Linked DNA regions of Anolis sagrei. The main gene of each other region encodes a partner of the protein of the gene in region 3 in a complex. Links are inferred from orthologs where the notes say so. Each region holds a gene or a part of one and is shown on either strand. Other genes may lie near its edges. The genes, in order: ANP32E, BRD8 and ING3.

Region 1 (10,066 bases), on a different chromosome or scaffold from region 3:
TCACAATGCACAGCAGTGGCCCACAAATCCTTTCTCTCACTTCACGGGATTTGGGACGTGATCTCAGCCCGAAAACAATCGTCTTATCATCTTTCCATCCACCAGGAGATAATGGATGGAAAGAAGGAATGGAAGAAAGGCAGCTGGAAGGAAAGAAAGAAGACGGTAGGGATTAAGGAAGACGAAAGGAAAGAAGACAGAAGGAGAGAAGGAAGTCAGAAGGAAGGGAGGAACTGAGGGAGATGGGAGGAAAGAAAACAAGGAGAGAAGAAAGTCTGAAGGAAGGAAGATGGAAGGAAGGCAATAAGAAGAAAGGAAGGAATTGGGGGAAAAGGAAAGAAAGAAAATAAAAGGAAAGAAGGAAGTCTGAAGGACAGAAGATGGAAGAAGGAAGGAAAGATGAAAGGAAGGAACTGAGGAAGATGGAAGGAAAGAAAACAGAAGGAGGGAAGGAAGACAAAAGGAATGGATGGATGGAAGGAAGGAAGGAAGGAAGAAAAGAAGGAATTGAGGAAAATGGAAGGAAAGAAAACAGAAGGAGAGAAGGAAATCTGAAGGACAGAAGATGGAGGAAGAAAGGAAAGAAGAAAGGAGTTGAGGAAAATGGAAGGAAAGAAAACAGAAGGAGAGAAGGAAGAAAGATGGAAGGAATGGAGGAAAGAAAGAAAGGAATTGAGGAAAATGGAAGGAAAGAAAACACAAGGAGGGAAGAAAGAAAGATGGAAGGAATGGAGGAAAGAAAGAAAGAAGAAAGTAAGGAATTGAGGAAAATGGAAGGAAAGAAAACAGAATGAGAGAAGTCTGAAGGAAGGAAGGAATTGAGGAAAATGGAAGGAAAGAAAACAAAAGGAGAGAAGAAAGAAAGAAAGAAAGATGGAAGGGAGGGAGGGAGGGAAGAAAAAAAGAAAGAAAGAAAAAAAAAGAAGAAAGTAGAAAGTAAGAAATTGAGGAAAATGGAAGGAAAAAAACCAGAAGGAGGTCTGAAAGAAGGAAGAGGTAAGGAAGGAAAGAAGAAAGGAAGGAATTGAGGAAGATGGAAAGAAGGGAAGAAAGGAGACAGAAGGAAGGAAGAAGGAAGGCATTCAATCCTTCCTCTGTGTGTGCTTTCTCTCTAGCAAGGCAAGAACTCCGAAAAAGCCAAGTAAATTCCACATCCAGCGACAAATGCAAGCAGTGTCCACACACACACACACACAGAACTCCATGCACGGCTTGTCTGCTTTTCAACAAGAAGAAACAAACATGTCTCCCATTCTTAGGGAGAAAGTGTAGACGGGACTCTAAGATGGATTCGGCCTGGGCTTGCTTTCCGGCTGCTGAGAAGTTAAAAATAAAAGAGGCCAGGAGCCTCCGCCATGCGCCGCCACATTTTCCCCCTTTTCTTTTTCGAACAACCAAAATGGTGAAATAGTCGGGGAGGGAGAGGGCCACCCGACTGAGTCGATTGGGGGGTTGGTTAGGGTGTCCTCTCCGAACAAAAGCCTCCGCCTCTTCCTCCAAATGGTTGTAAAAAGGCACGGCGCACACACAAGAGCGCCACCGCCACCACCGCCGCCATCGCGTGACCTAGATTCGAGGGGAAAAGAGCCAGTTAGAAGCAGCGTGGCTAGAAAGAGAGAGAGAGACGAAAAAAATTAAAAATATCAAAGCAGGAGAAAAAGTTTGGGATTTTCGACACTCTTCTTTCCTTGATTAAGCAAAAAAAGGGGGCAAAACTCGCCTTTTGGATTCCAGGGAAGGGAAGAACCTCCATGACCTAGATACGCAACATAAGAACGGAGAATTCTGGATTATGAGGAGTACTAGTCGTACCTTGCCATGCGTTGCTGTGGCCCATATGTGCTTTGTGTGTGTTTAGATGTGGTTTTGCGCATGAATTGGAATGTGTTTTTTTTGTATTTTTTGGCTTTTAAAGTCTCTTCTGCTGTGTTGTAATGTATTTTTTATATATTTTTTGGCTTTTAAAGTCTCTTTTGCTGTGTTTTTCTGAGAGATGGTGACACGTCGGCCTGATCGGTGTCTTGTGTCCGAATTTGGTGTCGATTCGCCCAGTGGTTTTGGAGTTATGTTAATGCCACAAACAAACATTAAATTTTTATTTATATATAGATTGATTGCCCAAAATCCAAACAAGCCAGGAAAAGTCAGATTAAAAAGACACCCCTAAACAGCGTAGGATTGTGGATGATGGTCGTCGTAGGTCGCGGAGAATGTGCCGAAATTGGACCAAAAAAAAGTGACAACGGGAACGTTGTCGTTGAAGGCGCACTTTTGAGCTCGGATTAAATAATTCCAATCATTGAGACGCGAAGGAGACTCTCTAGGGCAGGCATGGGCCAACTTTGGCCCTCCGGGTGTTTTGGACTCCAACTCCCACAATTCCTAACAGCCTACCGGCTGTTAGGAATTGTGGGAGTTGGAGTCCAAAACACCTGGAGGGCCAAAGTTGGCCCATGCCTGCCCTAGAGGATTAAAGAGGCAAATATTTTGGACTTTGGAGGCCGGTAGGCTGTTAGGAATTGTGGGAGTTGGAGTCCAAAACACCTGGAGGGCCAAAGTTGGCCCACGCCTGCCCGAGAGGGTTAAAGAGGCAAATATTTTGGACTTTGGAGGCAGTAAACAACAACAACAACAACAAATCTAGAAGATGGGAGCCAAAGGAAGCCTTTCTCTCTCTCCATCCGTCTCTCAATCTCTTCCAAAACATAAGCACCTCCCAACAAAGGATTTCTCCCCCCAGGCAGGAATCAGCCAAGTCTTGAAGCTGCAAGGCTTCGCCACGCTTGCCTAGTTTCCAACAGACCCCCTTCAACCTCTGAGGAGGCCTGCCATGGATGTGGGCGAAACGTCAGGAGAGAATGCTGCTGGAAAGTGGCCACATAAGCACCTCCCAACAAAGGATTCCCCCCAGGCAGGAACCAGCCAGGCTTTGAAGCTGCAAGGCTTTGCCACGCTTGCCTAGTTTCCAACAGACCCCCTTCAACCTCTGAGGATGCCTGCCATGGATGTGGGCGAAACGTCAGGAGAGAATGCTGCTGGGACGTAGCCGGACAGACCCGAAAACCCGCAGCAACCCAATAATAATAATAATCATCATCATCATCATCATAATGGGTTGCTGTGAATTTTCAGAACTGGAAACCTCCCAATCTTTGAGGATGCCTGCCATAGATGGGGGAGAAACGTCAGGAAAGAATGCTGCTGGAACATGGCCAGACAGACCTGAAAACTCACAGCAACCCAGTGATTCCGGTCATGAAAGCCTTCAACAAGACACTAATAATAATCATAATAATGATAATAATAATGGATTCACCCAGGCAGGAAGCAGCCAGGCTTTGAAGCTGCAAGGCCATTCAGTGCCAATCAAGGTGGCTAGTTGCAACATTCACATGTGCCTCAAGCAGACAAGAGTTTTTTCTCCCACCCACCTACTTCCCAACAAAGGATTTCCCCAGGCAGGAAGCAGCCAGGCTTTGATGCTGCAAGGCCATTCAGTGTTAATCAAGGTGGACAGTTGCAACCTTCACACATGCCTCAAGCAGACAAGAGTTCTTTCTCCCACCCTGGGCATCATTCATTCCACAGACATATAAACCCAATTTTCCTAGTTTCCAACAGACCTCACAACCTGCCATAGATGGGGGAGAAACGTCAGTAGAGAATGCTGCTGGGACGAGGCCAGACAGACCTGAAAACTCACAGCAACCCAATAATAATAATAATGATAATAATAATCACAATTATATCACAATCCAATAACAATAATAATGATAATAATAATAATAATCAAAATTATATCAAAGCAACCCAATAATAATAATAATGATAATGGATTGGTGTGAATTTTGAGACCTGGAAACCTCACAACCTCTGAGGGTGCCTGCCATCGATGTGGGCGAAACGTCAGGAGAGAGTGCTGCTGGAACATGGCCAAACTCACACCAACCCAATAATAATAATAATAATAATCACAATTATATCACAACCCAATACTAATAATAATGATAATAATAATCAAAGTTATATCAAAGCAACATAATAATAATAATAATAACAATAATAATAACGATAACAATAATAATGGGTTGCTGTGAATTTTGGGCGAAACGTCAGGAGAGAGTGCTGCTACATCGTGGCCAGACAGCACTCACAGCAACCCAATAATAAGAACAACAACAATTATATCAAAGCAACCTAATAATAATAATAATAATAATCACAATTGTATCACAATCCAATAATAATAATAATAATAATAATAATAATAATAATAATAATGGATTAATGTGAATTTTTAGACCTGCAACCTCACAACCTCTGAGAATGCCTGGCATGGATGTGGGCGAAACGTCAGGAGAGAATGCTGCTAGAATATGGCCACACAGCCCGGAAAACTCACAGCAAAACCAGTGATTCAGGCCATGAAAACACTATTTGGGGGGGGGGGGGGACACGGAAAGAAGGCCCCCGAAAGAGGAGAGAAACGCAAACAAAACAACACAAATGCGCACATTCGCATATCCAGACATATTTAGGAGGGCTTGGCGTCGAAGGACGGAAGGCAGGAAGGAAGGCAGGGGCGTCTGCCATGGCGAATGCGAGTCGAAAGCGAGACAGGGAGGGAGGCCAAGGCTCACCTTCTCCGGCGCGCGGTTCCTCAACTCCAAATTGATGCGCTTCTTCATCTCCATCCTGCTCCTCTTCTCCTTCTTCTTGGTCTCCCCCTTCTTTAGGCTAGGCCTCCGAAGTCCGGAGGGCAAAAATAATCCGGATTATAACAAGCAGGAGTTCTCTTTCGGGCTGGAAAGAATAACGAGGAGTTTAGGAAAGGAAAATGGCCCTCGAGGCGGCGGCTCCTTCTTCCTCCTCCTCCTCCTCCCGCTGTTTGTGCCGAACGCGCAGCTCCGCTCCCTTCAATGGCCGCTCGCGGACTGAGCCTCCATGACACCACGCATGGGGCCCCCTGCCAGAAGCCCCGCCCACCAGAGGGAGGGGGAGGGAGGACAGCCCGCCTAGGGAAGACCCCATTGGAGGAGGTAGCGCCCCGCCCCCGGCTCCGCGCCATTGGACACTCAGCCTGCTCGTCAAGCAAGCGCCTCCTCCATCTGCACTTCTTCCCTGAGCCTCTTTTGTGAGCAGAGAAGATGTTTATTTATTATTTATTTATTTGCTATACTTATATACCGCCGTTTCTCAGCCCAGTCGGCGACTCAACGCGGTTTACAACAACTTATAACAAACAACAGTATACAGTTTAAAAGCATAAAAACACAATCCACAGTAGTAAAGGTAGTCCCCTGACATTAAGTCCAGTCATGTCTGACTCTGGGGTGTGATGCTCATCTCCATTTCTAAGCCGAAGAGCCAGCGTTGTCCGTAGACACCTCCAAGGTCATGTGGCCAGCATGACTGCATGGAGCGCTGTTACCTTCCCGATGGAGCGGTACCTATTGATCTACTCACATTTGCATGTTTTCGAACTGCTAGGTTGGCAGAAGCTAGGGCTGACAACGGAAGCTCACACCGCTCCCCGGAATCGAACCTGCGACCTTTCGATCAACAAGCTCAGCAGCTCAGTGCTTTAACCCACTGCGCCACCGGGGGCTCCAATCCACAGTACATATATCTATAAACAATCCAATTCATCTCTTGACTAAAATCGCGATCCAGTGTCGTCGTCCAAATTGCCAGTCCTTCAATCATTACACTTATTGCACTGAGTTAACCGAACGCCTGCTCGAACATCCAGGTTTTTAGTCTTTTCCGGAATACCATCAATGAGGGGGCTGATCTTACCTCCATGGGGAGGGCGTTCCATAGCCGTGGGGCCACCACAGAAAAGGCCCTGTCTCTCGTCCCCGCCAGCCGCACCTGTGAAGCAGGCGGGATAGAGAGCAGCCCCCCCCCCCCCGAAGATCTTAGGGTCCTGGTGGGCTGATAGGCCGAGATACGTTCGGATAGGTAAGTTGGGCCAGAACCGTTTAGGGCTTTAAAGGCCAACGCCAGCACTTTGAATTGAGCCCGGTAGCAGATCAGCAGCCAGTGGAGCTGGTGCAGCAGAGGAGTTGTATGCTCCCTGCGCTCCGCTCCAGTTAGTATCATGGCTGCCGAGCGTTGGACTAATTGGAGCTTCCGGGCCATCTTCAAAGGCAACCCCACGTAGAGAGCGTTGCAGTAGTCTAAGCGTTGCAGTAGTCTAAAATAATGTTCCAGCTTATTTATTGCATGCCGGAACACCTCAGCAAACGACAGTCCAAAAGTGGCAGGCTCAAACCCAGAACCTCAACCAATGGCTGATACCATTTAATCCTGTACCCCAGTTTTAATCCTGGCCCAGTTTTCATAGTGTCTTGATGTATTGTTTATTGCATGTCGTTAATATTGCTTTGTTTTTAATTTGCTTTAGGTGTTGTATTGTTGTGTTGTGCTTTGAGGCCTTGGCCTTTGTAAGCCACATCGAGTCCTTCGGGAGATGCTAGTGGGGTACAAATAATAAAAGTTAATAATAATAATACCAAATGAGAGACTCCCTCCTGGGCACACAGAGGACTGGGCGACTTGGAAGGCATTGCACAGACTGCGCTCTGGCACCACGAGATGCATAGCCAACCTTCAGAAATGGGACTACAAAGTAGAATCCTCGACATGCGAGTGCGGAGAAGAGCAAACCACTGACCACCTGCTGCAATGCAACCTGAGCCCTGCCACATGCACCATGGAGGACCTTCTTGCAGCAACACCGGAAGCACTCCAAGTGGCCAGATACTGGTCAAAGGACATTTAACCAGCTACCAAACTCACAAGTTGTGTGAAATTTTCTGTTTGTTTGCTTTGTTCTGTTAGAAATGTAATATAATGGACTGGTTGCTCTGACACGACAAATAAAATCAAATCTGGTCTTCTTCCCTGAGCCTCTTTTGTGAGCAGAGAAGCTTATCAATATCCTTATCAAAGCCTGGCTGCTTGAAACAACCAGGACCAGCTAACACCTCCCAGCAACGGACCCCCCCTCAGGCAGGAAGCAGCCAGGCTTTGAAGCTGCAAGGCTATTCTTACTTAAGTTCCACCTTGTCTCCTGTGCTATGCTAATTTGTTGTTCAATCTAGGTTCTTGTGGGTTATTTCGGGCTATATGGCCATGTTCTAGAGGCATTCTCTCCTGACGTTTCGCCTGCATCTATGGCAAGCATCCTCAGAGGTAGTGAGGTCTGTTGGAATTAGGACCATGGGTTTATATATCTGTGGAATGGCTGGGGTGGTGTTGTTCAGTTGTTCAGTCGGTGGGTTGTTGTAGCTTTTTTCGGGCTGTATGGCCATGGTCTAGACCAGGGATCCTCAAACTAAGGCCTGGGGGCCAGATACAGCCCTTCAAGGTCATTTACCCGGTCCTTGCTCAGGGTCAGTCTAAATCTGAAACAACTTGAAAGCACACAACAACAGCAACAATCCCATCTCATCAGCCAAAAGCAGGCCCACACTTCCCATTGAAATAGTAATAAGTTTATATTTTTTAAATTGTTCTTCATTTAAATTATTGTATTGTTTTAAGTATTTTTTTCCCCTACAAACAAGATATGTGCAGTGTGCACAGCAATTCATTCATGGTTTTTTTTGGGGGGAGGGGGGTTGCAAATTATAATCTGGCCCTCCAACAGTTTGAAGGACTGTGACCTGGCCCTCTGTTTTAAAAGTTTGAGGGCCCCTGTTCTAGAAGCACTCTCTCCTGAAGTTTCCCCCACATCTATGGCAGGCATCCTCAGAGGTTGTGATGTCTGTTGGAAACTAGGAAAATTAGGTTTATATATCTGTGGAAAGTCCAGGATGGGATAAAGAACTCTTGTCTGTTGGAGCTAGGTGTGAATTCTTTCTCCCACCATGGACTTTCCACCCAAATCTAACCATCAAATCGCTTTAATGTTTCACATAGTAATCTAAAAATATAGGTCATTTTATACACAGTTTTTTTAAAAATTTGTACAAGAAACCATGTTTGGGTCTATTGAACTATCAGAAAGCAAAGGAGTCGCTCTCTTAGCTACTCACACGGACAAATTTGGAGTATTTCGGATCTTGGGATTCTGAGTAAAGGATGCTCAGTCGGTACCAAGTTTTCTGTCAGAGGAATCGTGTCCAGAAGTGCATTGACTTCACTGAAGTGTACCTTTATTTTTGTAATGTGTTTTAATTCGAGGAGGTGGCGCTGTAGGGCCACAAATCTTCACAGGGGCTTATGGTTTTACAGCCCTGATTCTAACCTTTGGACTTCAGCTCCCAAAATTCCTGATCATAGGCTGTGTTTTATGATAGTTACAGTCCAAAATAGTCAGAGTGTTATCAAGAGGACTAAAGTTACAGAAACAGGAAAGGACTGGATGAAGGGCTAAGCTAGCGTTTCTCAACCTGGGGGTCGGGACCCCTGAGGGGGTCACAAGGGGGTGTCAGAGGGGTTGCCAAAGACCATCAGAAAACACAATATTTTCTGTTGGTCATGGGAGTTCTGTGTGGGAAGTTTGGCCCAATTCTATCATTGGTGGGATTCCGAATGCTTTTTGATTGCATAATAATAATAATAATAATAATAATAATAACTTTATTTATACCCCACCACCATCTCCTCAAGGGGACTCGGGGTGGCTTACATGAGGCCAAGCCCAACAACACATCAGTAAAAACAAAACAGCAAGCAAAGAAAACAGTACAATTAATATAACTCACTTATGAAGGTGAACTAAGGGGTCTTAGGAACCCTTTTGGTAGAGAAGACCTGCCCTTCTCTTCATTTTTGGTGTTGGTGAACTACAACTCCCAGAATTCAAAAACAGCCCCCCCCCCCCAAACCCAGCAGTATTCAGTGTTGGCCATGTAGGTAGTGTGCCAAGTTTGGGCTGGGTTCAGAGTGCTCTTTGATTGTAGGTGAAATATAAATCCCAGCATCTACAATTCCCAAATGTCAAGGTCTATTTTCCCCAAACTCCACCAGTGTTCACATGTTGGCATATTGAGTATTTGTGCCAGGTTTGGTCCATATCTATAATTGTTTGAGCCCACAGTGCTCTCTGGATGGAGGTGAACTACAACTCCAAATCACAAGGTCAATGCCCAGCAATTACAATTCCCAAACATGAGGGTCCATTTTCCCCAAGCTCCACCAGTGTTCACATTTGGGTATATTGAGTATTCGTGCCAAGTTTGGTCCAGATCTCTCATTATTTGAGTCCACAGTGCTCTCTGGAGGTAGGTGAACTACAACTCCCAAACTCAAGGTCAATCCCCAGCAATTACAACTCCCAAACATAAGAGTCCATTTTCCCCAAGTTCCACTAGTGTTCACATTTCGGGATATTGAGTATTCATGCCAAATTTGGTCCAGATCCATCATTGTTTGAGCCCACTGTGCTCTCTGGAGGTAGGTGAATTACAACTCTTAAACTCAAGGTCAATGCCTAGCAATTACAACTCCCAAACATGAGAGTCCATTTTCCCCAAGTTCCACTAGTGTTCACATTTCGGCATATTGAGTATTCGTGCCAAGTTTGGTCCAGACCATCATTGTTTGAGTCCACAGTGCTCTTTGGAGGTAGGTGAACTACAACTCCCAAACTCAGGTTCAATGTCCACTAAACCGTTCCAGTATTTTCTGTTGGTCGTGGCAGTTCTGTGCCTTCCCGGATTAATGATCCCATCGCACTTTGTCCCTCTAAAGCACTTCACATTTTTTAGGTCTGCTCATATGTCTCTCCACGAGCGCCACTATCACCTGTTCGTCCATGTTCAGCACTATTTCCAATTTTAATTTTACATTTGGCCTTCCCATAGTTTTAATTGTATGTTGTCTTATCGATAATGTTATGTTTATGTTTTTATTTTAATTGCTTGTATTGTCGTGATTATTGCTTGTATTGTGTGTTTGGGCTTGGCCTCATGTAAGCCTCACCAAGTCCCTTGGGGAGATGGTAGCGGGGTACAAATAAAGTGTTGTTGTTATTGTTGTTGTTATTATTATTATTATTATTATTATTATTATTATTATGGGTTTTTGTTTTCAAATTATAATCTGGCCCTCC
Region 2 (9,905 bases), on a different chromosome or scaffold from region 3:
CGAAAGCTTATTGACATTATCAAGGTGAAAATGAAACATCTTACTTTCTGAGAAAACCAATCAGGTGGGCGTCCTGGCTCTGCAAAAGGTTTGATAGCTCTGCTGACAGACACCCTAGAGAAAAATAAAGTAGTTGAAGATCTTTAATCCCCCTTTTTCAACAATTCAGTGGGAAAACATTTGGTCTCATGTTCAGAGTCCTGGAAACCACAAGATACACACAATAGACTTTATTTTTGCTTACTCATGCAATCCTTACCTGACCTGGTTATTTCATTTCACATGTGCATAGTTTTGAATAGCACTGAAACATGTTGAACCGCTCTTTTTTCTGGTGTAGAAACCTATTCCTACACTTTCCATGTTATTTCTGCCTCTGGTATCAAATTTTCTGTTTAAAAAGCAATATGCTGGACTACATCTACATCATTAACTGAGACAGATGAACTTCACTGGATGACCTTGGCTCAATTTTTCTCTCAGCCTAACTCACCCTTCATTAAGTCAGGATAATCACCAATCTGTCCCTACATACAATCGGAGAGAACTTGTTTTCAGGTAGCTGTATTTATCAACTGGTTTTCACCGTTTTCAACAAATTCAAAGCTAATATCACAAACAGCACTAAAATATGTAAATCTCAGCAAGTAAACATCCTCTACCTGGAATTCTGAAATCTGATATACTCCAAAATCCAAAACTGTAAAGATAGGTGGCTGATATAACAACACTTTTGTTTTCTGATCATTCATGCTACACAAACTTTGCCTTATGCACAAATTAATAATAATGTATATAAAATTATCTTCATGTTATGTGTATAAAGTGCATTTTAAACTTAAATGAATTTTGTGTTAAGACTTGGATTCCATCTCCAAGATATCACATTATGTATGCACATGCAAATACTGTATTTACTTGAATCTAACACTCACCTTTTTTGGCTAGATTACCTTGCCAAAATTAGGGTGCACATTAGATTTGCATAATAGGGTAATTTTAGTGCTGAGCCAAAGCAATAGAGGAAGCTGCTGCAGGAGCACATGGAGCTTTTTTGAGGGGTGTCATCTATAATTTAATTGTCAAAGCTCAATGCTATGTAATCCTGGAATTTGTAGTTTGATGAGGCATCAGCATTCTTTGGCAGAGAAGGCTCAAGGCTTTTAAAAACTACAGCCCCCATGATTCCATAGCACTGAACTATAGACGTTAAAGTGGATTCATTCCACAACATAGATGCACTCCACTGTTTCTTTTCCATTGCTGAGAGCTTTGGTGTTCTTATTTAATAGTTTTTACAGAAGGAATTCTAAGCAGGGAGTAACTGTAATGGGCATAGTACAAAAAGTGTGTATCTTTTGCTGCTATGCATTGCAATCGTTAGCAATTTTTTTGTTTTTAGGTGTTTGAAAATTGAGGTAAACATTAGATTCGATGGTACCTTAGACTTGAGTAAATATGGGTACATACATATTCCAAAATCTGGAAAAAAAACTTCAAATCCAACTCCCCTTCTAATCCCAAGCATTTAAGATAGGGAATGCTTGACTTGTACTTGGTAATTAAGAACTACAACAAATTAATTCAGAATTTTGTTCAAAGAACAGATAATATTGTTAATTGAAATTACAATGCCCAGGACTTAGCAGCAAGTTTTGGCAAATTACATCTCCTAGTATGAACCTGCCCAGGCCCTAAGATCTTCAGGAGAAGGCCTTCTATCAGCTCTGGCTGCCTCAACTCTGGAGCTCCCCTTCTTCCTAGAGAAACCTGATCGGCCCCTCCCTGCTGTCCTTTTGTTTTGGTGGCAGGCTAAAACCTCTCTTTTCAGGCAGGTTTTTAAAGAACATTTTAAAGGCCAATCCTTGGGCGGGGGTGGGGTGGGGCAACTAGCCCCTAGGTATTTTAATAGATTTTAGTTATTTAAATTTATAGCGATTCTATGTTCAAGACTACTTTAATATTTATATGTTGTAGACTTTAAACTGCATTGCCTCAATTAAGGAACGTTAGCTATAAATAATAACAACAATAATCAGCATGCATCTCATACCAGTTCTGGTCCCCACTTCGCATGACAGAGGAGGCCAAGCACAGTTTCTCCCGGATGGACCATGGCTCTGTGGGCCCGACATTCAGCAACTTGTGCTCTGGAAGTCAGAGAGAGAAAGAGAAGAGATAAACACTGCAATGTTGCAACCTGCCCACAGATCCTTTTGTGACAGCACCTCAAAATAAACCTAACTTTGTCCGTGCAGCCGCCAATCTCAATCAATACTCCTATTTAAGTAAGCCTCAAGAGCAGCATGGGCAAACTTGGGCCCTTCAGGTGTTTTGGACTTCAACTCCCAAAACACTTGGAGGGCCCAAGTTTGCCCATGCCTGTTCAAGAGACTGCAGTAGTAGTATGCTGCTAGGTTATAGTTCTCAGCCCTATGAATGCCCTGAAAAGGTGTGTGGCAGCAGATATGTTGTTTTAAAAAAGCAATGCTTTTCATGAGAACCACCACTCCTCTTAATGTCCTCCACTCCCCCCCCCCCCCAGCAATAGCAAGGGAATCCCCTCTGGGCAGCTAAACCAGGAAATTCCAATTGGATAGCCCCCCATGAAGGTCTTCCTCCAGGGGCAAACCAAAAATGAGCAACTTGGAAGTCCCTAAACAGACTCAGAAGTGGACTGTGCAGATCAAAAGACAACCTGGCAAAATGGTTGTCAGTCGCACAAGGTGGAAGAATCTGCGACTGCGGAGCAGAACAAAAGACTCTGCAGCTGTATGTGTGCCCACAATGCCCTGCTTCATGCACAGAGAAAGAACTGTTTAAAGCTAGACAATGCTGGGTTGCTGTGAGTTTTTTGGCCTATATGGCCATGTTCCAGATGCATTCTCTCCTGATGTTTCACCCACATTTATGGCAGGCATCCTCAGAGGTTGTGAGGTCTGTTGGAAACTAGGCAAGTGGAGTTTATATACTTATGGCATGTCCAGAGTGGGAGGCTGGCCATTCCAAAGCCAGACTCTCAAGCTGCAAGGAAATTAAAATGTGAATTAAGGTAGCCAATTACAACATTTACACCTGCCTCAAGCAGACAAGAGTTCCACATAAATCCCACTTGCCTAGTTTCGAACAGACCTTACAACCTCTGAGGATGCCTGCCATAGATGTGTGCAAAACGTCAGAATGCTTCTGGAACATGACCATACAGCCTGGAAAACTCACAGCAAACCAGCGATTCTAGCCATGAAAGCCTTTGACAACACAATGTGGTCGCTGTTGCCCTTTTTTGGCCAAAAATTATTTAGCTGGTTGTGTTCCCTCTATTTTATCAGTTTTATAATTTATTTATGCAATTCTTTTGACACATTTTTTTCTGTGTCAGGAGCAACTTGAGGAGCCCTCAGTGGTGCAAAGGGTTGAACCCTTGTGCCGGCAGGGCTGAAGGTTTGAATCCGAGGAGAGCGCGGATGAGCTACCCCTGTCAGCTCCAGCTCCCCATGCAGGGACATGAGAGAAGCCTCCCACAAGGATTGCGAAACATCAAAACATCAGGGCATCATCTTTGCAGACAGCCAATCCACCAGAAGGGGCTTGCAGAAGCGACACGAAATAAATAAGAAGATATGTTTTTCCCTACATGGAGGAAAGGGGGGGGGGGGGGGGGAAGCCTGGTAAATGTGTTGTCGAAGGGTTTCATGGCCGGAATCATGGGTCGCTGTAAGTTTTTCGGGCTGTATGCCCATGTCCCAGAATCATTCACTCCTGACGTTTCGCCTCTCACAACCTCTGAGGATGCCTGCCATAGAGGCAGGCGAAACGTCAGGAGAGAATGCTTCTGCAACATGGCCATACAGCCCGAAAAACTTACAGCAACCCAAGACCTGGTAATTTTATGGAAGCTGTTAAAAAAACGCAGGCACCCTGTCACCCGCCGCCCGCTCGCCTTATTTCCTTCCTCCACCCTCTCCTCAAAAGACAGACCCCCACTCACTACCCGTCCCGGCGGCCATCTTTCCGACGCACGCCCGGTGCGTGCCGGGAAAGGGGCCGCGAGCTATGCCATAGAGCGGTGGGCGGTGCTTCCTCCTCAAAGCCGCGTTCTTATTGGCCGACGCCTTGCTTTCCCTTCCCGGCACGTGTTTGGTCTGAGCCGGAAGCGCGACAGTGCGGGAGAGGCGCGTGGCTCCTTCCCGGCGGAGAAGCAGGCATGGGCCGGGCCAGCAAGCGCCAGGAGGCCGAGGAGGAGCAGGCGGCGCCGGAGACTGAGGCCACCCCGGAGCGCTCCTACCACGAGCTGGTGGAGAACGTCAACGCCATCGCGCGGCCCCTGGCCTCCCGCAAGCTCACGCGGAAGCTCTACAAGTGCATCAAGAAAGGTGCAGGAAGGAAGGGGTTGGGCCTGCATCTACTGTACTCAGGCATGGGCAAACTTGGGTCCTCAGCTTAAGCGGCTGAGGGTGAAAAGGAAAGGGCCTGAGGCTGTTAGGAATTGTAGGAGTTGAAGTCCAAAACATCTGGAGGGCCCAAGTTTGCCCATGCCTGGCCTAGGTCAAACTGCATTAACTCTGCAGTGTAGGTGCACCTTTGGGAAAAGGGGAGGTTTTAGGGGCAGCACTCCTGGAGAGAGGGGATGGGGGTCTTCAGAGGGCTCCCTTTCAAGCCTCCTTGCTGGGTTGGTGGCTTCCCACATACATATTCTCTCTCCCCTTCTACTTGCAGCATCGAAGGTAAAACAGATTCGGCGTGGAGTGAAAGAGGTCCAGAAGTTCATTAACAAAGGCGAGAAGGGGTAAGAATCTTAACATGATTTGCGATAGAAGACTCCCCAAGGACCACCCGGTGCGCTACTCACAGATGCCAGCCCCTCCTTTGCCAGAAAAGAAAGTAACACAGCCATGGGGTTGGAAGAAACCCCAAGGGCCATCTAGTCCATGCAGAAACATCCAAACAAAGCACTTGTCGGATGGCCATCCAGCCTCTGCTTAAAAAGATTCCACCCCTCTGAGGGAAAAAGACTCCGCCCCTCTGACGGAGCAAATTCCATTTCACTAAGCATAAACTATTTCTTGTCCCAGGTGTAATGTCATGTTTGCAGTTAGCTGCCTTTAATTCTCATACCAGGGGAAAGGCAGTATAAAAATGAAGTAATTAAATTAATATTGGAATGATCACAGGTGCCTCGCGCTTAATTCCTTTAGAGCATTTGTCTTTTTTAGTGCTTCTTAAGCTATCTAATATGGGGGACAACTGCCCCCCTGCTCCCCAGAAAGCCAGAGATAAGCACACTTGTGCTCATTAACTATAACTACAGTATTTCCTTCTTGGAAACAACATGCACCAGCGGCCAGTAGATTACTGACCTGCACCAGCCCACAAACCACCATTTTGGGTATCAGTAGGTATTCTGCCTATGCAGGAATCTGCGATATTGTTCCTTGAATGATTTGCTTCCCTCAGAGTTTCCTGTGTCAAGTTTGACACAGTATGGCTGACTTCAGTTCAGTCATCCGCTGCAGATCTTGGAACTAAGTCCTCTCTTTGTAGTGTTCCTGATTGTTATGAGTGAATTACAGGGTGTTTCAAAATGATGGACACAGTTTGAAAGCAGTGTATTTCACCATGGTAACATCTTATAGTTACACAAAAAGTTACAAATGGTTTAATGAGTTATCATTTTTACTATTTTGAGCCAGAAACAAACCTAAAAATTAACTCCTCAAATGGAAAATATCTCATTAGTCCTTATGTGGGTCACCATCTTGCAAATGACTGAGGCTAAAGGCTGTTTGTAATTCTTTGAAGTTCTATGCCTCATCCTTCCAAAGGGTAAGTTTCATTTATGAGTGGTTTGTGGTTGCAGAGAGATAGCCATTTCAGATCACGTCCTTCTTTTAGAAACACCTTGTATTTCTGTGTCATGTGGGAAACTAAAATGTGCCCATGTGTCAAAAATGCAAACTTTAGGAGGCCACAATGATGATGAAGCCATGATGAAGCCAGAAGTCATATAACAGCAGCATTGTTTTCATTTGGATCTGCATAATGTTAACCTCAGTGCCTCACACTGACCTATTTGCCTTTTTTATTTCTCACATTCTGTCTGTGTGAGAGTACGAGTCTCTTAAGTCGAATCCAATTTATGTGAATACTGACCACACTACAAATATTTAAAAATTAGGTAGCAGAGAATTGGTTTGTAAAGCAGCTGCAGAGAGCAGAATTTACTCAGAAATTCTGCTGAGATTGAGGAGGCTTACAACTATCAACAGTATTGCAACTTTATATTATGAAGAGGGATTAACAGTAGCTTTGTTGTTCTCCCACTTCATTAAGGAGCAATGTCTAGTCCTTTTTTAAATGGTATCCTGCCTGTTTCTCTTAGGATCACAGTTCTTGCAGGAGACACACTGCCTATTGATGTTTACTGCCATATCCCCATCATGTGTGAAGACCGGAATCTTCCATATGTCTACATCCCCTCCAAAACGGTAATGATTTAGAGGAGGAACAGGGAAGGGGGCCTTCTTATTTGTATGTCTTATGGGAACTGAATGCAAGTTGGGAAGCTACAGGCGGTCCCCGAGTTACAAACATCTGACTGGGTTAAGAACGGGGGCGAGACAACAGGAAGTGAGAGAAATCTACCCCTCAGAAGGGAAATTCACTCCTGGAAGAGTTATCATGTGGGAAAGTTGTCTCCACTGAAACTTTCCCACCAATCCTTTTTACCACAAGACGGGTTTATCAAAATCCAATTGTTACAAGGACAGAGGGTGAGGTTAAATCTTCTGAACAGGGGAACAGACAGCAAAACAAATACCACAGGGGTGTTCACCCTTCCCTATGTTATCCAAAGCTAAAAATTACTTATTTTTGGCTGGAATTACACTGAAAAATATTATTTGTTCTGACTTACATACAAACTCAACTTAAGGACAAACCGACAGAACCTATTTTGTTCATAACTTGGGGGCTGCCTGTATTTGCATTCAGTTCAGTAATTTGTAATGCTATTGAGGGTGAGTTGCGGGCATATATAATGAATGTCTTTGAAGTTCTACTTAATAGAATCTTAAATATGGTGTCCAGATTCTGAAAGAGATAATTTGCCTTTATCTGCAACCTTAAATTTTGTGATCCAGGCTGTCCACATTGACTGAACCAGGTTTGAATGCAGGGGCTGATGTAAGGGATTCCTGTGTTAAAGAGGTCAAAGCAGGATACAACCACTTTCATATAGAAAGTCTTAGATTGAGTCTCCCTGCTATACAGGATCATGTTATAGCTTTGTAACAGTTTTAATAATGTCAATTACTGACAGTCAATTACAATTTCTATAACACAGGAAAATCATTTTGTATTCTGAAATAAGTGCCACATTGCAGGTTTTATGAGGCTTTTGAAAATTGTCATCTTTTTGATGTGGTGGGATTGATTTGTCATGCTCAAAAACAATGGATCAGTTCATCTTGACTTATGGGACATGTTTATGTAAATTGTGACAGTGGAGCTATGTATCTGTTAAATCATTTGTAAACTAGACAAATATTTGTTTTCTTTTCTCAGGATTTAGGAGCAGCTGCAGGTTCAAAACGTCCAACTTGTGTTATCTTGATTAAATCTCATGAAGAATATCAGGAAGCCTACGATGAGTGTTTTGAGGAGGTCGAAGCCCTTCCACTCCCATTGTGAACATCAACAAAATATGTTCATGGACTGATTTAAATTTTCATTTAGGTTCATTCCAGTTGAGTAATAGCTACACAGATTTGGAACATTTGGACAGGAGAACTTGCCTTGAATAGAGTACTGCAGCTAATACCGTCTGCAGTCCAACAACTCTTTTCTGTTTTAACTGACTTATGAAGTGTGTTTTTTACAAAATGTGATTTATTTTGCAATATAATCTACTGCCTATGTGGATATATCGAGCTGTAAAGGCATTCTTATTTGATATAAATGCAGTAAAATATTTTCTAAAACATCCTATATGCATGGAACATTCTTTTACTGGCTGTCTTGGCCTATACATGCAGTTGATAAGGTATCCATCTTGTTTTTATGCAGCCTTTGCATATTTAATATGGAGCTGGGGACTTAGGAACACTGAAGGTGGGGAAACTGTGACTACAGTGGGGGCAGGACAAACATTCTTAGAGGGCTTCCCAGACTATTGGAGCTGAGGTATGAAAAATGTGCCCCACAACAGGTACACTCACCCAGCTGCCTTATGCTTTTTTTTGGGTGGGGGGAGGAAGGACTAGCAATCACAGACACCCCCCCCCCCCGCCATGCCTAGGACTGCTGTGTGCACATCAATAGATCCCTGTGCCTCAAGAGGAAGGAGAAGATGAGTGCAGTTAATGTACTGTCTACTTCCTTTTTAGTCTGGGCTGCTGTGTGAATGCATATGCGCATTCACACAGCAGCTCCACATCTCAGGAGGGGGTGGCAACTCTGGCTATTGGTGCTCCCCCTCCAGCTTACAAAAAAATTGTTCTTAAACTGAATTTGTATGCAAGTCAGAACAGGTACATTTTTAAAGTTAACTCCAGCCAATTTTTGTTTAGTTTTGAATAGTATAGGGAAGGGTTAACACGTTTATTTTGCTGTCTGCATCCCTGTGCAGAAGGCTTCACCTCACGTTGTCCCCATGACAATTGGATTTTGACAATTTTTGGTTGTGGAAATAAGGATTGATGACAACGCTTCAGTAGAGATACCTTTCCCCTCCCCATGATAACTCTTTCAGGGTTGAATTTCCCTTCCTAGGGGTAGATTTCCTCAGTTCTGCAGTTTCAACTAAGTCTGAGTTCAAAACTATGACTTGCTACTTCCACAATGAAATGAAATTTCTGTTTCAGTTTGTAATCTAGATTTTTTTGTTCTTAATCTTGGATTCCCAAGATGATTTAGATTTCAGCTCTTGGAAGCCCTGGCCATTACTAAGGAGTTGGACAATGAAATGTTGAGAATTAGTGCTATCAATCACTACATAATAAAATGGAAGGAGATACTGTATGGGTGATCTCTAGAGGGTTTCTGTGGCTGGGTTTGAATTTGAACCCTGGAGTCCTACTCCACTGCTTTCATCAGCTGTCTTATGTGAAATTTACTAGGCTGAAGATTTTCAGAAGTGATATTGTAAGGAATACACCTCTTTTAGAGAAATATTTCCTTGGTTTTAAATAAACAAAAACCAAAAACATTCACCAAGCAATCTGAAAAGAAATTTAATTAGATATATTCCTATGCCACTCCTCCCATAGTCATAACAGTCATTGGTGCCCTAGAGAAGGGCAAAATAATGATCACATGCAGTCAGATAAAATCCCAAGCTTATATCAGCCAGCTACAGCAACATTAGAAAGACTGTATCATACGTTTTGCTTGTTGAAGGCACTGACTTGTTCCAGTAACCTTCAAGTTAGAATATATCCTTATAGTGTGTTTATAAATAACTTACATATTACCATACTTTTCCTAAAGGAGGTAGGCTCAACTCTTGAAGCTTAGGAACATCAGTCCTAGATTGTTATGAACTATGACAGTAATTATTTTTGCTTTTTAGTGTATCTCCAAGGATGTTCTGTAGATATCTATAAAAGCAGATGTAATATCTCTGTTAAGAATCTGTACCCCATACATTCGCTTTATAGAGTCCTTGTCATACTATTTTCCAAAATGGTTCATGTATATAGCAGGACCTGTATTTAGTACCATATTTAAGGAACACATATTGTAATACAAGGGGGAAAGTTGAATTGTATCTTATCTATTTATCTACTTGACAGGGCCCTAATTACTATTGTACCAGTTTTCTCACCCTGTGCTGTTCTCTTAAGTTTTGTTGTTTAAAATCAAGGTAGATTCGTTGTTTCTGCCTAATCTTACTCAGCAATACAGCA
Region 3 (10,450 bases):
TCCCGCTACCTTTGCAGTAGTGTTTGGTGTGGACAATAGACAAGGCCTTTTCTGTGGTGGCTCCCCAGCTATGGAACACTCTCCCAAATGAAATTAGATCTGCCCCCTCCCTCCTGACCTTGCAAAGCATTTGCAGAGTGATGGCTGAGATCGGTAATTGACTAAGGTATTGACCACAATATGCGGGCTGAGTTGGACGTTTTTATCCTGGCGAATGTTTTAGTATGCTTTTTATCTGATATGTATTTTTAATTTATTGTTTATATATGATGTTTCAAAGGTTGTTTGTGAGCATTGAATACTTGCTGTTAGCCGGTCTGAGTCCCTCTACGGAAGTAGAGAAGATTGGGATACAAACATTTTAAATAAATAATATAATAAATATTGTAATAAACTGAAAGGGTAAACTTTAAATAGTTTTAAAGGGCTCTAGGATTCTCAGGATGATATATAAGCATAGGCTTGAGTTTACAGTCATCAGCTGCATTAGCCTCTAGCAGCAATGTCAACCTATCTTTTGCAGGTTTGAATCCAGGCATAGATTTCTCTTCTTTTGCAATAAAAGTTCTTGCTGGCATTTTCTTCCAATATAGGACTGTTTCATCAACACTGAAAATCTGTTCCTTTGTGTAGCCATCATCTTCTATAATTTTTGCAAATTCTGTGGGATAGGTTTCTACCATTGCAGTTTCTGTGCTAGATGCTTCTTGCACTTTTATTTTATGCAAATTGGACCTTGCTTTGAATCTATTGAACCAGCCTTTGCTAGGCTCAAAAGTTTCTTCAGCAGATGCCTTTCCTCTTTCAGCCTTCATCATATTAAACAGACTTAAGGCTTTGATGCGGAAAATGGCTATGCTGAAATGAATATTGTGACTGGTTTGGTCTTGAATCCACTCATTTAAAACTTTTCCATGTCAGCAAATAATCCACCCCCTTTTCTAATAACTTTAGTATTCACCGGTGTAGCTTTCCTATTTTATCTATCACCCTGGCTTTATTCTTAACAATTGTATTAACTGTGGAGCGAGGTACGCCTAGTTTGCGGCCCATGTCACTCATGGACATGCTTCCCTCACCAAGTTTGATTAGGTCTAGCTTTTCTTGCAAATTGAGAACTCTATGGGATCTTTTAGCTTTATCACTGCCCTTAGCTGCCATGATGTATTCTAATACTGTAAGAGACTCACTGGCCATGATGTCAAAAGCAGCACAGGCTGAATAGAGAGTGAAGGAATACTACCCACCTCATAGGCACTGATTGAATGAGCAAAAATGGCATAGAGGGAAATAGTATCAAACAGCACTTGATCTGTTGTAAGCAAGTCTCGCTTAAACACCTTTCTCCCTCTTTTAGCTTATTTTGTAAGTAACTCATGCAAACAGCTGATGCTTATACATACAAATAGTTCAAAGCAACCTCCATAGTTGCATTGAACTGTTTGTGAGAACACTGCTTTTTAAACTGTGGGTCCCAACCCCAAATGAGAACCCTTGAGTTCAATGTTGAGGTCACAAAAAATGGCAACCGGAAAACGTTCCTGAATACCATTTAGACAAATCTGTTAGCATCAATGTATAGTGTTTGCAGCAGGCTGCAGAAAACGCTTCAGCTTGTTTAGAAAGCCTTGCAAGTGCTGATTGCAAATGCGTAGAAGAGGCATGGATCCTTTAGTTGTTGGGGGGAAATGAAGCTCTGAGCACTTCAGGAAATGCCAAATGGTTGGCCATGGAGCATCAAGAAGCCAGCGGCACCACAGAAACATTTGGGAAGTGTGTGGCATTGCACTGCAGCGGCTTCAGGATGCAAGGAGTGGAACAAGCCAAAGTCCAGCTAATGGCTAAACTCCAGTGGCCACCAAAGTGCAAGAGGGAAAAGAATGCTTGCAAAAGTAGTGTGTCCTGCTGAGGCTTCCAGCCAACTCCTTTCCTGGTCCAACCTCTTTGCTGCTTGGCCTCTCACAAACTTGTTCAGAATTACAGTAAACAAATGCGTCTGCACTCGCTCATCCCTTTTTGGTTCATTCCGGCTTTTTATTCCACAGATATATAACCTACACATCAAAAAGTGGGGTATTGTATGTACAGCTATACCTCCCTTTAGACTGCTAACATATACCAGGTCCCTTGGGCTATATTTCTCAGGAAGGAACTGGCAAAAGCACCTGTGAGGTCCCTTCCATACAGCTGTATAAAATCCCAATTGAACAGTGTGGATTCTGATACCCAGTTCAAAGCAGATATTGTGGATTAAGTGCTGTAATAATCTGGATTATATGGCAATGTAGAAGGGGTCTGAATCTCCTTGTGGGTGTGAGTATTCCTTGCTTAAGAAAAAACCCCATGAAATTCATGATGTGGTCGTAAGTCGACAGACAACTTGAAGGTAAATATACTTGAGTGTTTTGTGAGACTTTCCACTTGTAAATTCCCCATGTTTTTCCACTTCTACTCCTTCTTCTGTATTTCTTCTTGCAAAAGTCTGTGGGCTTTTCCACACAGCCCTTTATCCCAGGATATCAAGACAGAAAATCCCACATTATCAGAGTGTGGACTCAGATAACCCAGTTCAAAGCAGATATTGCAGATAATCCACAATATATGCCCTGGGTTATCTGAGTTTACACTGCCACATAATCCAGTTCAATGTGGATTTTATACAGTTGTGTGGAAGGGGCCTACGATAATCCAGCTCAAAGCATCAACTGCTGCTCTGGGCCAGAATGAAGAGAGAGGGGACCAGGGGACAGTTCCATCTTGTCTCCTGCATATGTCATCAGTTGGGAACCCCTCCTCCCAACACCAACTGCTGCTCTGGGCCAGAGAGAGGGGGCCAGGGGCCAGCTCCACCTTGTCTCCTGTACTATGCTTATAATATAATGTAATATAATGTAATATAATATATTGTATATACATATAATATTTATATTATAATGTAATGCAATGCAATATATGATAATAATATGATATTATAATTATATATTTATATGACATGTAATATTACAAATGATATTACAATATAATGGTATAGTACAATATAGTAATATTTAATACTGATATTGTACTGCGAGGAGGAGCTGAGGAGCCTTCTAACCAAGGTGAAAGAAAGCGCAAAAGCTGGGTTGCGGCTAAACATTAAAAAAAACCAAGATTGCAGCAACAAGAATGATTGATAACTGAGAAATAGAGGGAGAAAACGTGGAGGCCGTGACAGACTTTGTATTTCTAGGTGCAAAGCTGACTGCAGATGCAGACTGCAGCCAGGAAATCAGGAGATGCTTACTTCTTGGGAGGAGCGCAATGACCAATCTCAATAAAATAATGAAGAGTAGAGACATCACACTGGCAACAAAGATCCACATAGTTAAAGCAATGGCATTCCCCATAGTCACCTACGGATGTGAGAGCTGGACTTTAGGGAAGGCTGAGCGAAGGAAGATAGATGCTTTTGAACTGTGATGTTGGAGGAAAGTTCTGAGAGTGTCTTGGACCACCAGAAGATCCAACCAGTCCATACTTCAGGAAATAAAGCCTGACTGCTCATTGGAGGGAAAGATATTAGAGGCAAAGATGAAGTACTTTGGCCACATAATGAGAAGACAGGAAAGCTTAGAGAAGACAATTATGTTGGGAAAATGGAAGGAAAAAGGAAGAGGGGCCAACCAAGGGCAAGATGGATGGATGGTATCCTTGAAGTGACTGGCTTGACTTTGAAGGAGCTGGGGGTGGTGATGGCCAACAGGGAGCTCTGGCGTGGGCTGGTCCATGAGGTCACGAGGAGTCGGAAATGAATGAACGAATGAACAACAACAATATATATGCTCTGTGCATAATGAGTACCTTAAAAACAAAAGAACTAATGAACAAAATCACACCAAATTTGGCAACAAAATGTCTTACAACACAAGGAGTGACCATCACTCAAAACATTATGATTTTGTCATTTGAGAGTTGTAGTTGCTGGGATTTATAGTTCACCTATAATCATAGAGCATTCTGAACTCCACTAACGATGAAATTGAACCAAACTTGGCACACAGGACTCCCCTGACCAACAGAAAACACCAGAAGAGTTTGAGAGTTGTAGTTCACCTACATCTAGAGAGCACTGTGGACTCAAACTGTGATGGATCTGGACCAAACTTGGCACGAATACGCAATATGCCCAAATATAAACACAGATGGAGTTTGAGGGAAATAGACCTTGACCTTTGGGAGTTGTAGTTACTGGGATTTATAGTTCACCTACAATCAAAGAGCATTCTGAACCCCACTAACGACAGAATTGGGACAAACCTCCCACACAGAACCCCCACGACCAACAGAAAATACTTAAGGCCATCCAGTCCAACTCCTTTCACCAGGGCAAGAAAACGTAATCAAAGCCCTCCTGACAAAGACCCATCCAGCCATAGATAGGACATAGTTCTTTTAAAATTTTTATTTTGCACTGCCTTTATGTTTAAATGCACTTTAATGTTTTTGCTTTATTAATGTATGTATTTATGGCATCAAAGTGTGCCGACTGTGTATACCGCCCTGAGTCGCCTCTGGGCTGATATAGGCGGGATAGAAACAATGTAAATAAATAAATAATAGATATATGACTCTCTCTCACACAGATATAGTATAATAGATTCGAAAGGGATCCTTAAAGAAGGACAATTATATGTTGCATGTTCCAGAGTAGGCAAATCAGACACTCTCCACATCAACACTGTTTACCCACAAGCATAACGAAATTACATATATTAGAAACCAACTTTCTCATTACTTTATTTTCCAGATCACCAGACTGGGCCACAGCAACGCGTGGCTGGGGACAGCTAGTATGATATATTGCATGTATATATACCTTGTAAGCCGCTTTGAGTTCCCTTCAGGGTGAGAAGGGCGGCATATAAATGTCGCAAATAAATAAATAAATAATGTGGATTTTTTGTTTTGCTAACGTGAATTACCTGGCAGTGAAGAAGGGGCCTAAGAGCTCCTTAAGTTTTGAAACCTGCAGCTGCCTTGGTTTACCTCAGTACAACCTCACAGGAGTTCAGAGAGTCACACAGTACTTCTAAATGAGCATGCACGGTATTATTTTGAGAAGTTTCCTCGGCTCAGCTCACACACGAACAACTTTCCCTTGTAACTCGAATCCAAAAGGCGAGTTTCCTCCTTCTTTCTTCTTTAGCGGGATGCAGGACTCTGCCGAAACTACGTTTCCCAGAGAGCAACGGGAGAGGCGCGAGCCGCCCGGCCTACGTCAGAGGCGCCAGGAGCCAATCGCGTGGCGGCCGAAGCCGGAGCGTCATCCGCCAATGTTGTTTTCGCTGAGTCGAGCCGCTGGTGTCGTTGGCGGTGCCGGCGCCATATTGGAAGGGACGAGGCGGTGGTTGGCGTTTTTTTTTCCCTTTCACCCCACCCAAAACTCCCCTCTTCGCTCGCCGCTGAAACAACCGAGACCCTCTTAAGCCACGGGCCTCTCCGCCGCCGCCGCCACCATGCTGTACTTGGAGGACTACCTCGAAAGTGAGTCGTTGGAAGCGAGGGAGGGAGGGGGGCGCTAGGCCCGAAGAAGGGAGGGGCGAGAGAGAGAGAGCGCGGAGGGAGCGTAGGCTCCGCCCCTCGCTCCGCCCCCTCTATTCTTCCCTGCCTTGACTGACTCGCTCTTTCTCCCCTCCCTCCCCGCAGTGATTGAACAACTTCCCATGGATCTCCGCGACAGGTTCACCGAGATGCGCGAGATGGACCTGCAGGTGCAGAGTACGTGAGCGGGCTCCGCCCACTGTCCGCCATGCGTGTTGATTGACGTGGTGTGGGCGGCGCTTAATCCTAGTTCCTCTCCCCCCGCCCTTCTCTTATGCAAAAGGGAAAGCTGAGCCTGGAGCGAGTGTTTTCCAGAGTAACCATTAAGTCAGCTCTATTGGAGTCTCTGTGTATTTATTGTTTATCTTGTCAGAAGTGAATTGAAAACACAGTTATAATGTATATAAAAAAAAACACAAACAAAGTTTTAAAAAACCGCAACATAGTTAAACACAGAATTTAAAATAAACACAAAAGCTTGGCATTATACAAAATTTCCCTGGCCACTTGGAGTGCCTCTGGTGTCTCTGTTAAGGGATCCTCCAGTGTGCATTTGGCAGCACTCAGACTGCATTGTAGTAGGTGATTTCTTCTCCATCCTTGCATGTTGTGGACTCCACTTCATAGCCCCATTTCTTTTTCCCCCATGTCTTTTTTTTATTGCCGAAACAGGTAGAATAACATCACAATCCACCAACATTTTTAAATATTGAAATACATAATGAATACATATCACATATTGTTTCATAGTGATCTTATCAATCCCATCTTTACCTCTCCCTTGTGTCTAATGATTTTACACCCCTCACCTCCTTCCCCCACCTCCAGGAAACAGTACTTAGCCCCATTTCCTAAGGTTGGCTCTGCATCTCATGGTGCCAGAGCAGGATCCGTTCAGTGCCTTCCAAGTCACCCAGTCTTCTGTGTGCTCAGGAGGGAGTTTCTTACTCAATTCCAGCCACTGATTGAAGTTCTCAGTTTTAACCTGCCACTTTTGGACTCTCACATGCTGAAGTGTTATAGAATCAGAGTTGGAAGAGACCTCATGGGCCATCCAGTCCATCTCCCTGCCAAGAAGCAGAAAAAATTGCATTCAAAGCACACCGAGAGAGTATCTCTATAGATCTTAGAAAACGATTGTTAGGCATCAATTAGCTGCCTAGTTGTAAGCTGTTTTGAGTCACCTTCAGGTTCGAGAAAGGCAGGATAGAAATTTCATAAATAAATAAATAAATATTTCTTTATTTAATTCGTTGGCATGCTGGCTAATATCCAAGCAGAGAATGGGCCTTGGTCCTTTCATTGATGGCTGCTGCTTCCCAACGGATATCAAGTGGTGCAGTGGTGCAGTATAATTTATCCAGCGGTATAATTTATCCAGCGGTATTGGGCATAAACTTCCTGTGATAATGTGGCATGTCTCATTAAGAGCCACCTCCACTATTTTAACTTGGTGAGATGTATTCCACACTGGGCATGCGTATTCAGCAGCAGAGTAGCAAAGCGCAAGAGCAGATGTCTTCACTGTATCTAATTGTGATCCTCAAGTTGTGCCAGATTTCGTATGATATTATTTCTAGCACCCACTTTTTGCTTGATAGTCTGGCAGTGCTTCTTATAAGTCAGAACACAGTCCAGAATGACTCCCTGGTATTTTTGTATGCTGCAGTGCTCCAATGGGATTCCTTTTCAGACAGTTCTCAGAGCTCGAGATGCTTGTCTGTTCTTAAGATGAAAAGTACATGTCTGCATTTTGGATGAATTAGGAATCAGATGGTTTTCCCTGTAATAAGCAGTAAGAGCACCTAAAGCTTTGAAGAGCTGTTCAACCATTTCAAAGTGCCCTGCTTGAGCAGTGGCATGATCGTCAGCATAGATGAAATTCTCTGTCCCTTCTGCAGTCGCTGATGATTAGTGTAAATGTTAAACATTGATGGAGTAAGCACACTCCCCTGAGGCAAGTTGTTCTCTCTGTTAATATATCTTGAGTATTCCTTATCCGAAATGCTTGGGACAAGCAAATGTCCTGGGATTTGGATTATTTTGGAATCCCTGTATACATATGTATATGTAATGAGAAATTTTGGAAATAGGACTCAAGTCTAAATAAACACTGAATTTTTTTAGACATTATACCCACATAGCCTGAAGATAATTTTATGCACAGTGTTTAAAATATTTTGTGCTGAAACCAAATTTATGTACATTGAAATGTATGTACATTTATGTTCGAAAGCACAAGTATCACTATCTCAGCCACCCAGGTGGACAATTTTGAACTTATCCCTCAAAACCAGAAGTGTCTCGGATTTCAGATTATTTTGGAACACCTGTGTGTACCTAATGAGATATCTTAGATATGGAACTGAAGTCTAAACACAAAATTCATTTATTTATAACATTTTAAATTTTAAATAATTAAATAAAATGTGTGTACAGCTCAGAATCTCAGCTATTCATGTAGACAGGGAGGGGAATAGAAAAATTAACAGCACCTTTAAGGTGAACTGGTTTTTATTTTAATATTACCGTAGCTTTTGTAGATATCTCACATCTTTTCAGTTTTACATCTGAAGAGTTGATTGATATCCATGAACAGTCATGCTAAAATAAAAGTCTTGTAAATACTACTAGGTTTTTCCATTTCCCCCCTTTTCCTTTTTTAATTCATTTAGAAAGTGGGCATTGTCTAGGTTATATTATTACCAAATACAAATCATGAGTCTTAGCACTTACAAGTATGTAACTTCAGCTGCAAAAGCCTGTATTCTTTAGTTTCAAATAATTAGGGGTACAGATAACCAAGTGTGTAGGACAACTAACTGGTAATAGATAGGGTTACTTTTAAACTTAAAGAATTTAAATGCCTCTCTGGAATATATGCAAGTCAAAAGATATGTGTTTCCATGGTTATTATTTCTCTTCCAAGTAATTTCAGTGGGTCTCCATGTGGACTAAATAATGAGTTGGTAAAAGCTCTTTGAAAGTGCATTTTTAAAGTACATGAAATATATCATTTTCCTTCAGTCAAAGTTGAAATAGCATTTACAATCCCTGACCCATCCCTATATATTTATTTATTTATTTATTTGCTTTATTTCTATACCGCATTTTTTCAGCCCTTGACAGGCGAAATAGCATTTACAAAGCATTTACAAAGTTGAAATAGCATTTACAATCCCTGACCCATCCCTATATATATTGCACTGCCTATACATAAACTGCACTCCCTATATATATTGCACTGCCTAGACATAAACTGCTTAATGGAATTGGTCCATTTATATATTTATATTACTTCAATGGAATTGAAGTAATATAAAATGACTTTATGTGATTTTTTGAGAGGAGAAAAACCTATATTTTTTTTATTTTTCTCCTTTCCAAATTGAACTTTGCCCTTTTTTTGTTCCTGTCACTTTGGATTGTGAGGGCATACCAAATGCTCTGTGTTGCAAGCACAGCTGACTTTCTTTCTTCTCATATGGCAAATTGGCTTAAATTTATCGGGCCCTCAGTATCCACTATGGATTGGTTCCAGCATCCCACTGAAATACAAAAATCCGTGGATGCTGAAGACACATTATATGCAATGGCATAGTAATATGAATGGAGGTTGCCACCACTTTCAGTTGACCCTCCACTTTTGCAGGAGTTGTAATAGAATTCGTTACCAGGTGTAATCTTAACCATGTAAGTTTGCACTAAAGTCTCACTTAACTCCGTATGCCTTTTCTGTAAAAAGTCACTTAGGACTTTTGATGTACATGTCATAAATCTTACATTGAGATTAATTTTTTTAAAAAACTAAATTTAACCTCGTACACATTTTTCAATAGTTTGCCCCATAGTATATTTATTTCTCATACTTCTGTTCTCCTTTTACAATCCATTATATATTTATAAGAAGATGAATGACTGCAACTTTAATGTTTGTGTGTTTTAAGATGCAATGGATCAACTGGAGCAAAGAGTCAATGAATTTTTTATGAATGCAAAGAAAAACAAACAGGAATGGAGAGAAGAACAAATGACTTCAATTAAAAAGGTAAGAGTAAGGAAAATTCTGATCAAAATAAAGAAGGCCCTGGAGTCATATTTTTAAATTGGAGGTGTGAACCTAATGAGAAATTATTCCTTCCGTCAGAAGGTACAGTTGAGTGAGAGGTTTTGGATATGGCTGTAAAGCAAGACGACTTTCCTATTCCCTGTTCTTTTTCTTAGGCTCTTTTTTTGTTTGCTCCAAAGCAAAAACTGAAGCAATTATTGCTCAACTTCCCTCCTCTCATGCTTGTCCATGGTTCTGATTTTGACAAAAGCAGTAACCATAAGAGGTATTTTCACGGGCAGGACCTGTGTCTCTGACCACACAGCCAGCTTTCCATAGTTGTTGCTAAGATTGTTGATGCCAAGAACCTACCGTGTTTGACTTTTTCAAATCAGATGTTCCTCATGTCACCCATGAAGACAACTCTAACTTGCTTTTGAAAATGATCTCTGCCCTAAGTGGTTATAAGGATATTCTCATCAGGCTTTGTGGTCTCATCATGACATTAACGATAATAAAAAATAGATTAATTTCATGCAGGTACTAATGGTCAGTATGATGTAGTGTTTTGACTAGGACTCTGAGAGACTAGGCTTTGATTCCCCTCTTGGCCATGGAAACCCACTTGGTGACCTTGGCAATATTACAGTCTCTCAGCATTCGAGAAAAGCAGTAACATTTCCAATCTGAACCCATCCTGCTAAGAAAACCCTCTTGACAGGTTTGCTTTAGGGTTGCCATGTTAGAATGACTGGAACACTGAACAGGTCTTGAGGCCCCTGCAGGAAAACAACACTGAAGTCCTGTATGAGATTATGCCCT

What was found.
Region 1: ING3 (region 3) and ANP32E share a complex: the UniProt entries of both Homo sapiens proteins name them as parts of the SWR1-like complex. The link is inferred for Anolis sagrei from reciprocal best matches to the Homo sapiens genes ING3 and ANP32E.
Region 2: ING3 (region 3) and BRD8 share a complex: the UniProt entries of both Homo sapiens proteins name them as parts of the SWR1-like complex. The link is inferred for Anolis sagrei from reciprocal best matches to the Homo sapiens genes ING3 and BRD8.

What each region holds. Positions count from the first base shown.
Region 1 is NC_090032.1:5,804,621-5,814,686, forward strand, and holds the start of ANP32E (acidic leucine-rich nuclear phosphoprotein 32 family member E), read right to left. Parts: upstream 4,977-10,066; 5' UTR 4,695-4,976; coding exon 4,641-4,694; intron 1-4,640. UniProt on the Homo sapiens protein: Histone chaperone that specifically mediates the genome-wide removal of histone H2A.Z/H2AZ1 from the nucleosome: removes H2A.Z/H2AZ1 from its normal sites of deposition, especially from enhancer and insulator regions.
Region 2 is NC_090022.1:76,369,893-76,379,797, forward strand, and holds the start of BRD8 (bromodomain-containing protein 8), read right to left. Parts: upstream 4,059-9,905; 5' UTR 4,008-4,058; coding exon 3,989-4,007; exon of another isoform or gene 3,979-3,988; intron 2,151-3,978; coding exon 2,054-2,150; intron 115-2,053; coding exon 45-114; intron 1-44. Other genes in the region: NHP2 (H/ACA ribonucleoprotein complex subunit 2), read left to right, coding at 4,205-4,373, 4,717-4,786, 6,380-6,485, 7,564-7,689. UniProt on the Homo sapiens protein: May act as a coactivator during transcriptional activation by hormone-activated nuclear receptors (NR). Isoform 2 stimulates transcriptional activation by AR/DHTR, ESR1/NR3A1, RXRA/NR2B1 and THRB/ERBA2.
Region 3 is NC_090025.1:128,893,828-128,904,277, reverse strand, and holds the start of ING3 (inhibitor of growth protein 3), read left to right. Parts: upstream 1-5,303; 5' UTR 5,304-5,495; coding exon 5,496-5,523; intron 5,524-5,685; coding exon 5,686-5,757; intron 5,758-9,527; coding exon 9,528-9,628; intron 9,629-10,450. UniProt on the Homo sapiens protein: Component of the NuA4 histone acetyltransferase (HAT) complex which is involved in transcriptional activation of select genes principally by acetylation of nucleosomal histones H4 and H2A.